Nothobranchius furzeri: one gene and its partners. The protein of the gene in region 1 purifies or fractionates together with the protein of each later gene. This does not show direct contact. Links are inferred from orthologs where the notes say so. Each region holds a gene or a part of one and is shown in the gene's direction. Other genes may lie near its edges. The genes, in order: usp25, kctd10 and btbd9.

The links.
Region 2: the proteins of usp25 (region 1) and kctd10 purify together in Homo sapiens (affinity purification with mass spectrometry; 4 studies listed by BioGRID and IntAct, counting the BioPlex papers as one, with this or other methods). This does not show direct contact. The link is inferred for Nothobranchius furzeri from reciprocal best matches to the Homo sapiens genes USP25 and KCTD10.
Region 3: the proteins of usp25 (region 1) and btbd9 purify together in Homo sapiens (affinity purification with mass spectrometry; 3 studies listed by BioGRID and IntAct, counting the BioPlex papers as one, with this or other methods). This does not show direct contact. The link is inferred for Nothobranchius furzeri from reciprocal best matches to the Homo sapiens genes USP25 and BTBD9.

Annotation. Positions count from the first base shown.
Region 1 is NC_091750.1:42,789,623-42,793,375, reverse strand, and holds the start of usp25 (ubiquitin carboxyl-terminal hydrolase 25), read left to right. Parts: upstream 1-1,465; 5' UTR 1,466-1,643; coding exon 1,644-1,685; intron 1,686-3,753. UniProt on the Homo sapiens protein: Deubiquitinating enzyme that hydrolyzes ubiquitin moieties conjugated to substrates and thus, functions in various biological processes including inflammation and immune response.
Region 2 is NC_091757.1:45,363,560-45,367,312, reverse strand, and holds the start of kctd10 (BTB/POZ domain-containing adapter for CUL3-mediated RhoA degradation protein 3), read left to right. Parts: upstream 1-1,173; 5' UTR 1,174-1,308; coding exon 1,309-1,311; intron 1,312-1,970; coding exon 1,971-2,184; intron 2,185-2,274; coding exon 2,275-2,444; intron 2,445-2,573; coding exon 2,574-2,660; intron 2,661-3,753. Other genes in the region: ube3b (ubiquitin-protein ligase E3B), read right to left, coding at 1-29. UniProt on the Homo sapiens protein: Substrate-specific adapter of a BCR (BTB-CUL3-RBX1) E3 ubiquitin-protein ligase complex. The BCR(BACURD3) E3 ubiquitin ligase complex mediates the ubiquitination of target proteins, leading to their degradation by the proteasome.
Region 3 is NC_091742.1:14,670,970-14,674,722, forward strand, and holds the start of btbd9 (BTB/POZ domain-containing protein 9), read left to right. Parts: upstream 1-1,434; 5' UTR 1,435-1,575; intron 1,576-1,896; 5' UTR 1,897-1,911; coding exon 1,912-2,105; intron 2,106-3,753. Other genes in the region: uncharacterized protein, read left to right, coding at 68-163.

The DNA of each region.
Region 1 (3,753 bases):
GAGTCCTGGAGAAGGTAAACATCCAGAAACGGATGGATGGATGGTGTTTGGTCGTCTGACAGACAGAGGAGTCCCACATCCAGCTGGACAGCAGCATCAGAGACTCTACAGGATAAGACTGCCCTCTACTGATGAACACCACCATAGCAGCTCACCCTGGCCAACATCATGCGTCCATTAATATTTATATGTGCTACTTTATCGACACAGTTCCTGCTGATGGCTTCACTTCTAGCAAAATGGATTCCTGAGCATCAGAAGAGCGCCCTGGTTTTGAGTCAGACGAATAATCTCCCCAACATTTGGATGATTTTTCTGGCTGAATAATTAGGCCAGACTCCGAAAGGCTGACTTCAGGGGTTTTCTTCACAATTAAAAGTTTTTGATGTCATTCTGACAAAAGTTGTGATGCATTTTTGTTTTGTCAACCAGAAAACTAACATGTATTCGATAAATGTGCAGAGGTGTCCCAAAAGTGTGGTTTAATGTGAGGACTGAAGAGTGAATAAAAAAAGGACAATAAACTGATCTAAACCACTGGTTCATGTGAGACACATCCACACAAAAACAAATCTTCCCTGATAGAAATGAAACACACTTCCAAACAGTGATTGTCTGGAACAGAAGTGATTGTTGGATTATTCTTTTAAATGAATAAAAATAGAAAAACAAATCAGCAGTAGATGCACAAGAAAAACAATCTTTAAAGGCTTAAAATCCCTTTTCTGTGTTGCTTTTTGTTGATGGAAATGATAAAAAGCTTTTGGCTTTTGTTTCCACACTTCCAGGTGAGGCTGCTTTTCAAAAATGTATTTACCAGGTTAATAATAATAATAATAATAAGCCCCTCTGAATGCATGTTCTTTAAAAATGCCGCTCAAGTTAAGTGCTGGACTAGACAAAGTCACAGGAGACAGAAGATCGTTTTTTCTGTTTTTAAGTGTTTTGGATGCTTTGGCTTCATCAGACAGTCGCGTTATCCAGTGGCGTGTCCAGATCTTTTAGAATGGGGGTGGCCCAGATGAGGCACTACTTTGTGCATGGGTGACACCAATGGTTATGCTTCTTTTTTTTACCCCAAGCCTTTTGTGGACAATGAAAATACTATTTAAATGGAATTCAGTGTGGTGACACATGGGGTGGCCATTCAGATTCCAAGGGTGGCATGTGCCACCCCAGGCCACTCCCTGGACACACCCCTGGCGTTATCCTACACACTGATGGAGAAAGCTGCCTTTGCCAGGAATTTGGTTACAAAAGACACTAGGTCATTGAATTTGGGGACTATTTTGATGTTACCGGGTGGAAGATGATGGTCCATCTATCTGATTTTAAACAGATTATGGTTGTTTTTTCTCATTATAAAATTTGATAAATACAGTCAGACGGGTGAACTGCATTTCTATTTCTCACCCGTGACGTTGACGCAGTCGAGTCAGACGAAAGTAATCGATCCCAGCTCGTCGGCGGGCTAGAGCAATGTTTTCACGAGCTGAGCTAGTTTCTCTGCCATGGCGCCCGTAGTGTCGCTGGTTAAGGTGGGGACTTCGTAGCATCTTGTTTTGATTCGCTTCAGGAGCGAGTGCAGCTTGTGTTTCGCTGCTCCTAGTTGGACCTGACTCACATTTACCCCCGAACCGGCCATGACCGTGGAGCAGAATGTCCTCCAGCAGCATTCTCAGAAGGTATGCTGGCAGAAGATAACTTCAGAGCTAGCAAACTTTAGCATAATGCATAGCTTCAGAGTTTCAGGACACAAAGAATTTACAGCATCACTGTGTTGAGACGCTGGATAGTTGAGTTGGTTTTAAAGCGTTAGATGTCCTAATGGTTGGCCTTCCACGCTTGAGCTAAAGCTTTAAAGTCCTGTGTGGTAGCAGCAATTTAAAGGCCCAGCTTTGCGCTGCTGTTTGTTTACTAGCGTTAGCTAACGGTCCGCGCTAAAGGCGAGTTTACCCTAAACCCTGGCCATCTGTGGAGGTCCGGTCACGTTCGCCATATTTAGTCATTTATTGATAAAAAACAAACAACGTGGCACTCGAGGATCTAAATACGTAAAGATTTTAACAAGAAACCCAATCAAACGACACCCTTAACTGGCGTATTTAATTTTATTTTGGGACTTTGTAAATAACGTCGTTCCCTTTAACAAAAATGTTCACATTTCTCTTAAAATGTTAATTTTATTTGTGAATTGTATTCCAGCTTACCTATGATGTATCTGATGTGTTTGTTTACAAAACACGGCTAACTGGAATTCCACCCCAGTCCTGCCGCTTGGCGGTGATCCACAGCTGCTTCACAGCTGGACACGTTCTTTATTATCATCGTCCCAACCCATCATACTATGGCGAGTGATTTCTGATCACCAGCCGGAGAATGATGGGACGGGACGATGATCAAAAAAGAAGAAGCGCTGGGAGAAGCACGTCGCCTCTGTAACGTGGAGAAGTGCTTCTTCGGCAAGCTCTAACACATATTGGCCACTAGGGGCAGCAGTGGGCATTTTCAGTGGGTTTTTGCCATTTCCTGTTTATTTGTTACAACATAAAATAAACTAATAAATTCCCTCATGGAATTAGCCTGTTCTTTACATAACTGATATCTTTTCACTAGGGGTTCACCGGTATCGGGCCGATACAATACCATCCCACATATGTTGGGGGAGTTCAGATGGCGCTCGCGCGGGTTCACGAAGCGAGCTGCTCGTCCTCTTTACGCAATGGAACCTTGCGTTTTATTGGCTTTTGCGTATTTTGTTGTCTCTGATGCTTTTTTTGAATGGTGTGGCTTCTCTGGTGACTTATGATCGAGCTGTGCGGCTGAGGCTTCGTCCTCCTGTTGATGTAGCGGGTGCTGCGCGCTGGGAACCTCACGGATGGCGTTGTTGTTTGGACTGCCCGTGTGCTCTCTCCCCCCAAGCCATGATGTGTTGGCCCTCTGTCCGCCCCAGCTCGAGAAGGAAGCATCGTATAAGACGGGGAAAGCGAGGTAGCCTTCGCGTGAGACGTCGGGCTGGACTTCCTGGATCCCTGAAGAAGCGGCTGGTCCAATTCGGCCCAGCTTGTGACCCGGTGGTTCCGAGACGTCTGATGGTTTACTCTGCGCCCTGCCTTGTGATCTTGGCCGGCTTTGAGGGTGAGCTGGCACCGTGCCACGGCCAATCGGCTCGAGGACCTCGCCAGAGTGGGGTTTGCTGGGAGAATCTACGCTCAGTTACGGGCTCAGAGTTGGAGGAGACGGTGCCTGTACACGATCCAGGTGCTGTGGCCCCGCCGCAGACCCGGTTTGGTCTGGTCAATCCCAGGTCTGTGCAGAACAAAACTTTCATTCTTCGGGATTTTTTTATTCAACATGACTTGAGTTTTTTGTGCATCTGTGAGTCCGTTTGGTGACTCAAGCACCATGCTGGAGCTGGTACCACCTGGCTGCTCCTGTTTTAATATCCCCAGATCGTCGGGCAGAGGTGGTGGGCTGGTTGTGTTTTAAAATCCAGCTTTCCTTGTAAACAGCTTACACTCACCATGTCATTTTCTTCTCTTCAACTGTGCCTATTTGAACTGCATCTCCCCCCGCCTGCTCGTCGTGCTAATTTATCGCCCTCCAAAGACTGACTCTAACTTCCCGTAATGATTTCTATGATCTTGTGGCAGACTGCATCCTAAAATATGACTATGTCCTATTTTTGGTGATTTTATCATCCATATCTGCTGTCCTGACAATGTGCTTGCTAAAGGTTTTCTGAATTTGCTA
Region 2 (3,753 bases), on another chromosome or scaffold:
GACTTGGAGCTTTGAGGGACACTAAACATTGTGCACCCTAGAAATATATAAAATAATACAAACCATGAAGCTTCTGCAGTCTGCGTGATGGTGTTGATGGCTATTTAAAAAGGCGTTCCAGCCGGTATGTTTACATCCCATAAAGTAGTTGTTTGAGCTTAATGATGAATTTACCTGAGTCTGAAGATGGCAAGATGTTGTTTGGCCTTCAGCCTCACCTGTCGCTATACTATTTCAATCATTTGGCTGTCTGTGACATCCAAACATGAGGAAGGCAAAAGAACAAGAGGGCTAACTTGGCATCTTTGAAGCAAATAACGACACAGTGGAGGGTGAAGCAGCGACTGTTAGCTCTCAAGAGCTAGTTTGCGACTTGCCAACTATAAGGTAAATTTTACATACATTCAAAGATACATAGCATTGTTTTAGGCTAATATATTATCCTGTATCGATGTCAATTTTTCTAACGCAAGAAACACACCGTTTTGAAATGTAAACAATGAGATGAGATCCCTTCATTGACTTCAGCCATTAATCCCTTGTGCCGCTCGAAATGATTCCGGGCAACCTTTATGCTCGTAAACAAATGACAATAAAAGATTTAATACAATTTTAAAAATCTCAAATTTGCCAAATGAGCTCATTTTTATGTAGTAAAAACGGGTGACTTTCGGCTTTTTGTGGTGAATATAGATTTCCTCTGCTGAGTTGGGTGGGCTACGGAGAGGGGACTGTTTTCACTGTTACTCCGTCAGCGGAAATGTCCAGAGTCAAGGAAGTGTCGTTTTCCTAGTTTGTCGTTAACCAAAATTAATGTACAAAATATGGGAAAATTACAGTACTGCTAAATTACTGTTGTCATTTATATTTATTTGAAAATTCTATAATATTTACAAAATAATATAATCGGTCTGTGATAACGTCATTTTCACGGTACAATCGGTGTTGTGTCGAAAAATGTACCCTACCACCCTGTTCTGGAAAGAAGCATTTTAAGCGTTATTCAGAATTTCTTTTCTACAATTGTCCTAAAATATTTAATTTAACAGTTGAAATATTTATGTTGATAAATGATGCGAATGTTATAGTTTTGCAATACTCTGGTGAAAAATAATCGTCCCGTTTGTGTATAATTATAATCCCATCTTTAGAAACTAAGAATGCTGATAGTAAAGAATAATTCAACCTTTTCATCAGTGTCGGGCCCTGTCGCCGCAGAGGTGCTTTTTTGGGCACAACACCGGAAGGAAGTAGGTGTTAGCTGACTGGCGTTGGCAAGCTACGCTTACGAAGTCTGCTGTGGGTTCTATGGTAAATATGTATTTACATTTACAAAGGCAAATTCATGTTGCGCTACTTACATTATATGAAAGGACATTTTATAGAGTTCGTTCGACAGTAATTGTTGACATTTGGTAGTGAACCCTATCGGTATCAGCTAATGCTAACTTGCTTGCTAGCTCACAGTGGCCATTACAATAAAGTTAAATGTTTTAGAAAAAGAACTACGTATCAGCTTTACAAACAAAATATAAAACGTTCTTTGTAAAGTACGATCGTCGGGTTTCTCGTAAAATCTAAAGCTGTTCTCTTTGCGATTTTCACAACTTCAGCAATTGTTCAGTTATTTCCAATAGTTTTTGTAAATAATGCGATATAAAAGTCTCATATTTAGACATCTCTGCTCATTTAATCCTCCCTATTGACATCTAAAATTATTAGATTAATGCCACAGATTATTTTATTTATTTAAACAAAAATCGAAATATTCAGTACATTGTATTGTAAGCAGTGAGGCCACAGTGGTTAAATGGCCTAAATAAACATAATCAAGATGACCAAGATCACACTTATCAAAATTAAAGTTTCCGATCATGTGAAAACACAACATAATGTCTGACTGATGTGCGAATATGAGAGTTTTTTGTTGAGATCCATATGTCACATTATTTTATCTCTTGTTGCTCCAGGAAGAGATGTCAGGAGAGAGAGTGGTGAGCTCGGCAGTGCCGGCAGCTACAACACGGACCACGTCCTTCAAGGGCTCCAGCCCCAGTTCAAAGTATGTGAAACTAAATGTGGGTGGAGCTCTGTACTATACTACAATGCAGACTCTTACCAAACAGGACACGATGCTCAAAGCTATGTTCAGTGGCAGGATGGAAGTGTTGACGGACAGCGAAGGTGAGCCATGGATATAAAGTTTGAGAGATGTTTGTCATTGCTGATTTGACCTTTGACAAGGCTTAATCGCTCATCATTTCATATTCATAGGTTGGATTTTGATTGATCGCTGTGGGAAACACTTTGGAACAATCCTTAACTACCTTAGAGACGGAGCTGTCCCGCTCCCAGACAGCCGTCGAGAAACTGAGGAGCTCCTTGCTGAAGCCAAGTATTACCTGGTCCAAGGCCTTGCTGATGAATGTACGGCTGCTTTGCAGGTAACAAGTTTATTTACTTGGCATAAATTCTAAACTGCATAATAATAATGTTTAAAAAGTTTTTTAAATGGGCTTAATGTGTCTTTATGTTTTTTTTATTTTAAATTTAAAAATTATTTTTCATTTCAGAACAAAGAAACATATGAACCCCTTTGCAAAGTGCCTCTCATGACATCATCTAAAGAAGAGCAGAGACTCATCGCAACCTCAAAAAGGGTATTTGTATTTTTTATGTAAATTTGGGTTGGGACAAAATATTTGACCGTCGACGAACGGGTGAGCCGTTATGGTTGTTTTTACAAGAGGCTATTTGTTTATTTATTTGTTTGGCCGTGTGTACGTTTGTTAATGGCTCATGCACTTGCACAGATATTTTACATGTTGCGCACAGAGAACATCACAGAGGTAATGCAATCAATCAAGAAAAGATTTCCATCAGTGCATTTGAGTATTATCTCACACATTCTCCACATCCTGCTACTGACAGTGCTCATTACAGCACGCTGAAGAGGAGCTCGGAGTGCATCTGTGATGCACTCGGCATTGTTCATAAGAGCGCGATATTAAGTGCTTCTAGATCTGGGAAGTGGAAACCTTTCCATCTTTCAGAGAGTCCGGTAGACTTCTGGTTATTTCATATGAAGAATTGTTTCCTGATTGTAAAACTTTGGCTGAAGTTGCCCTCATTTTTCAGCACCCACTTCGAATCCAGCGTGGCAGCAGAGCAAGGATTCATCCAGAACAGCGTTTAAACAGCCATGAGTCTGTCTGGGGCAAAAGCCCAGGGACCTCATTTATCAAGCTTGCTTACGCACAAAACGGGGTCGGAAAATTGCATAAGCAACTTTCCATGCAAACTTTGGGATTTATGAAAGAAAACTTAGTGGGAAGTTGACTAAGGACCTTGCTTACGCACATTCTGGACATGGAGAGCACCTGCAGTGCTGCTGCTGAGAAGGATACAATTATGAAATCCTGCAGCATTATCACTTGTACTGCTTCGTTTTCACACAGAACAAGTGAAAGGAAGGGCTTTTTCAAAACAAATAAGAGAAAATCCACGAAGTGGCACAGTGTTGCTGAAAGCCGTCAATGTTGTGAATTCTTCAGAGAGATCTGTGGAGCGCGTGCACACACACACATACACACACACACACACACACACACACACACACACACACACACACACACACACACAAACACACACACACGCACACACACACACACACACACAGCCTGAAGCGCAGAATACGGAATGCAGAACAGGGGTGGACATTAACTTCAAAACCAACCGGCCAGCCGGGCCGGT
Region 3 (3,753 bases), on another chromosome or scaffold:
AGAAATTCATGGTTGTTTTGGGAGGTCACAGGAGGTCATCTTTCCTCTCATTTTTGTTTTTTTGCAGATTAATGTTGACGTTGATGTCACTTACAGCGTGGTGAAAGCTCCGCCCACTGATCCCAACAGCCTCTATGCTTCAGTCGTAGAAAAACCTAAATAATAAATAATAAAACTCTGCTGGTCTGATAGCAAAGCCTCATCAGTTAATGGAAGATGTTTTTCATGGTTTTTGTTTATTTTAAAGCTTTGTTTTCTTTTAGCGTCATCTTTAAAGTAACTCATCAGTATTTAACCCGGACTGTATTATGTAACAGTTTGATATTTAATTAGACTTTTTACTTTAAGCGATGGGCGTGACAGGAACATGTTCAGATGTCATGAAGGATGTGATTCAGCAGAGCAGCTGTGAGATGTAAAAATCCAACTCATGAAGAAACTTGTTGTCACGGAGACGCAGGATGAGTGACAGCTCTAAAGATGCTTTTTACAGTCATGCATGTTTTCTTTTCACCTCTTCTTACACACATACACATGTATTTATGCATGTAATGTTTTAGACTTATTTTGTATTTTTAACAGATTCAGATGCAATATTTTGACATTTTCTTTTATTTTTTTTTTGTTTTGTTTAAATGCTCATTTTCTTGTAAAAGTCTTAATGCTTCAGATGGTTCAGTTATTGATATGATGACACCTGCTGGTAAAATGGCATCCATAATAAAGACACATCAGTTTGTTTCACATAAATCTTAATTATTTTCTGTCAGATTTTTTACTTTGCATATTTATCTAACTAATTATGTACAATATAATATATATTTAATAAACACAGTTGTATAGTATTTGTTTTTTATGTTTCCTTTTTAAGTTCCTTCTGATAAATTTGCTACATTTTCATTTTTTTATCAAACATCTTTGCACACGGATATTTTTAAGAGTAGCGGAAAGACAATATAAGCCTTTGTGAATTATTTTAATGACAAATTTGATCATGTTGGTCAGAAATCAAGGAAACTTTTTTTTCAGTGGTTTCCAAAGTAGGGGTCAGGACCCACTGAGGGATACTAAATGCTAGACTGTTGGTGTCATTGAATGATCAACTAAAATAAAACTAAAGAGTCAGCAAAAAACTGTTAATTTTCATAATAACAGTCAATAATATATGATAATAAAAATGATAACCAAGTTTAGCAACCATTTGACATGAGATATTCAGCTAAAATACAGTGTAGCAAAATATGTAATATATGTAAAGGTTCTGTGAAGCTAAACATTATTTCAATTTAATTTAATTTAATTTAATTTAATTTAATTTAATTTAATTTAATTTAATTTAATTTAATTAACAATGACCTTCCGATCCAGACAGTGGCGCTGTTGCTGCTATGTAGCAACATTTTACTAATCGGAAGTTGTTTGCTGACGTTTCCGCGTCACTCCGTTTCCAAGCTGCTGTTATGGTGGAAGGGTCGGGAATTTGGTGCATTTCTTTCTCCATATTGGAAAACTTAGCCCCAGCTGTATTTTTGTACTAACTTTGATCAAAAGACAGGAGTGAATGGTATCTGTTCGGTAAGTAGGAGACGCAGAATGACGTTAGACAGAGATGCTAAAGGGTAATTAGCTGTTTGCTAAATGTCGGCGACGACACCGGCATCGGCTAGCTTCCAAACAACTTCTCTATTATTATTTTTTATGTTTAAATACTTCAAATGCAGCGGTGAGCATGTGTACTTTAGTCTGTTGTTTTAACCTAACCGCTATGTTTTTGGCGCTGCGGTTAGCATCTAGCATGAGCTAACTGTGAGAGCGACGCCTTCGCGGGTTGTTTCTCTTTGACTTGTTTACTGTTTGTGACGCCGGTTTGAGGTTGCTGTGCTTTTTATGTGACAGCTGTAACTCTGTTGGATGTCGACCATGAGCAACAGTCATCCCCTGCGGCCGCTGGCCTCCATTTCGGAGATCGATCACATCCACCTGCTGTCAGAGCAGCTGGGAGCGCTGGTGCTGGGAGAGGAGTACAGCGATGTCACCTTCATCGTGGAGGGGAAGCGGTTCCCGGCTCACCGGGTCATCCTTGCTGCTCGCTGCCACTACTTCAGGTGAGTCTACGTGTTTGCATTCCTGGATTAGTCATCACACGTGGTTTTGGTCACTCTTCCGGCTGCTGAGGTTAAAGCTCAAAGCAAAACAAACACAACAGTTTACCACTTAAAATTAGTTCAGGCTGTTGTGAATTTATGAACTGAGTTAAATAGAGAATTTCTTTTTCTCAGATTGGCAGCATGTTAAGCTAAGAAAGTAAAGATCTGATGTTTGAGTTTCACCAACCATGTTGAATCTGATTATCTTTTCTGTTCTACTCATCCTTTTTTCAAACTTTATGTAAAAGTTAACTAATAAATATTAGGGTTTGATTTGTTTTCAAATGTTAAGCAAAAAAATTGTTTCACAGATAAACTGTATTCATCCTGATTTGTTTTCAGGTTTTATAATATAAACATTTACCTGATGCAATGCAATTCAAGTTTATTTATACAGCACAGCATCAAATCACGACAGGAGTCGTCTCAAGGACTTTCACACAGTAAACATCCCAATACAGGTCAGTTCATTAATCCAGTCAGTAAAAAGTTTCCTGTAAGGAAACCAGCAAATTGCATCGAGTCACTGACTAGTGTCAAGAGTCTTTACAGCAATCCTCATCCTAAGCACGCATGTGGCTACAGTGGAGAGGAAAACTTCCTTTTAACAGGAAGAAACCTCCAGAGGATCCTGGCTCAGTATAAGCTAGGGTTGTAGCGAAGCTTCAATGACGTCGACGGCTCGATTCTAAAAATTCGTCGACATCAGATTCGGTAGTCGACGCACCGCGCCCACTTGTTGCATCCACAGGAGTTTGTAAATAGAGGAGAAATCTGCCTGTTTTCCCTCTAGTTCGCCCTCTTCTCCGCCTTCACTAACATCTCCACCAAATACCGAAGACCCGGCAAAATGTCCGTCCGCTACTAGATTCCTTTCCTGTTTTGTCCGCCTTCGTCTCTCGGCAACGGACACCAACTTCCGGGGTCAGATGCGCTGCATCGTCTCTACCGCAGATGTGGAAAATCACTGGTAGAGTTTCTCCCTTCATTAAGGAGCTTCTTTCAGACATCAGGAGAGCTGTTTTGGTGGTAGCAGTCTCTCCTCCGTGCTGGTCTGTTTGCTGCTGGGTATTTTTGGTTTATTTAAACTTGGTAACTTGAACTTAACGTTGGTAAAGCTACTGTTAGCATTTTCGCTAACAGCTTCTTGCGTTGGGATAAGCTGTTACGTTTTGGTTTAGAGTTCATCTTTTTTGTGGTGCAGATCTCCCTTTTATTACATTTAGAGTGTTGTGGGTTTTCGGTTTAGTTTAAAACATCACCTTGAGTTTGGTTTAACCGCCCAGTTTAGAGTTTGGACCTTTGGAGATGCTTATTTTTTTTCCAGAACCCTGTAATCTTTGCCCAGTGGGACATCCCTACTTATTTGTACTTTTGTTTTAATTCCCCACAGGCAGAATTAGTTTTATTATTCCCAACCTGTGGATGGAAAGATTTATGTTTTGTAGTTGTAAATAAACCTGATCATCATTTTAACTTTTAAATCCTGCGTTATTGTCCCTTCCTTTTTGCACACGAGCCAAACTCCCCAGGAAGAGTCGTAACACCACTCGCCTCACGCACATAAGTGACCAAAACAAAGCAGCATGGAGACACTCCGTCTCCA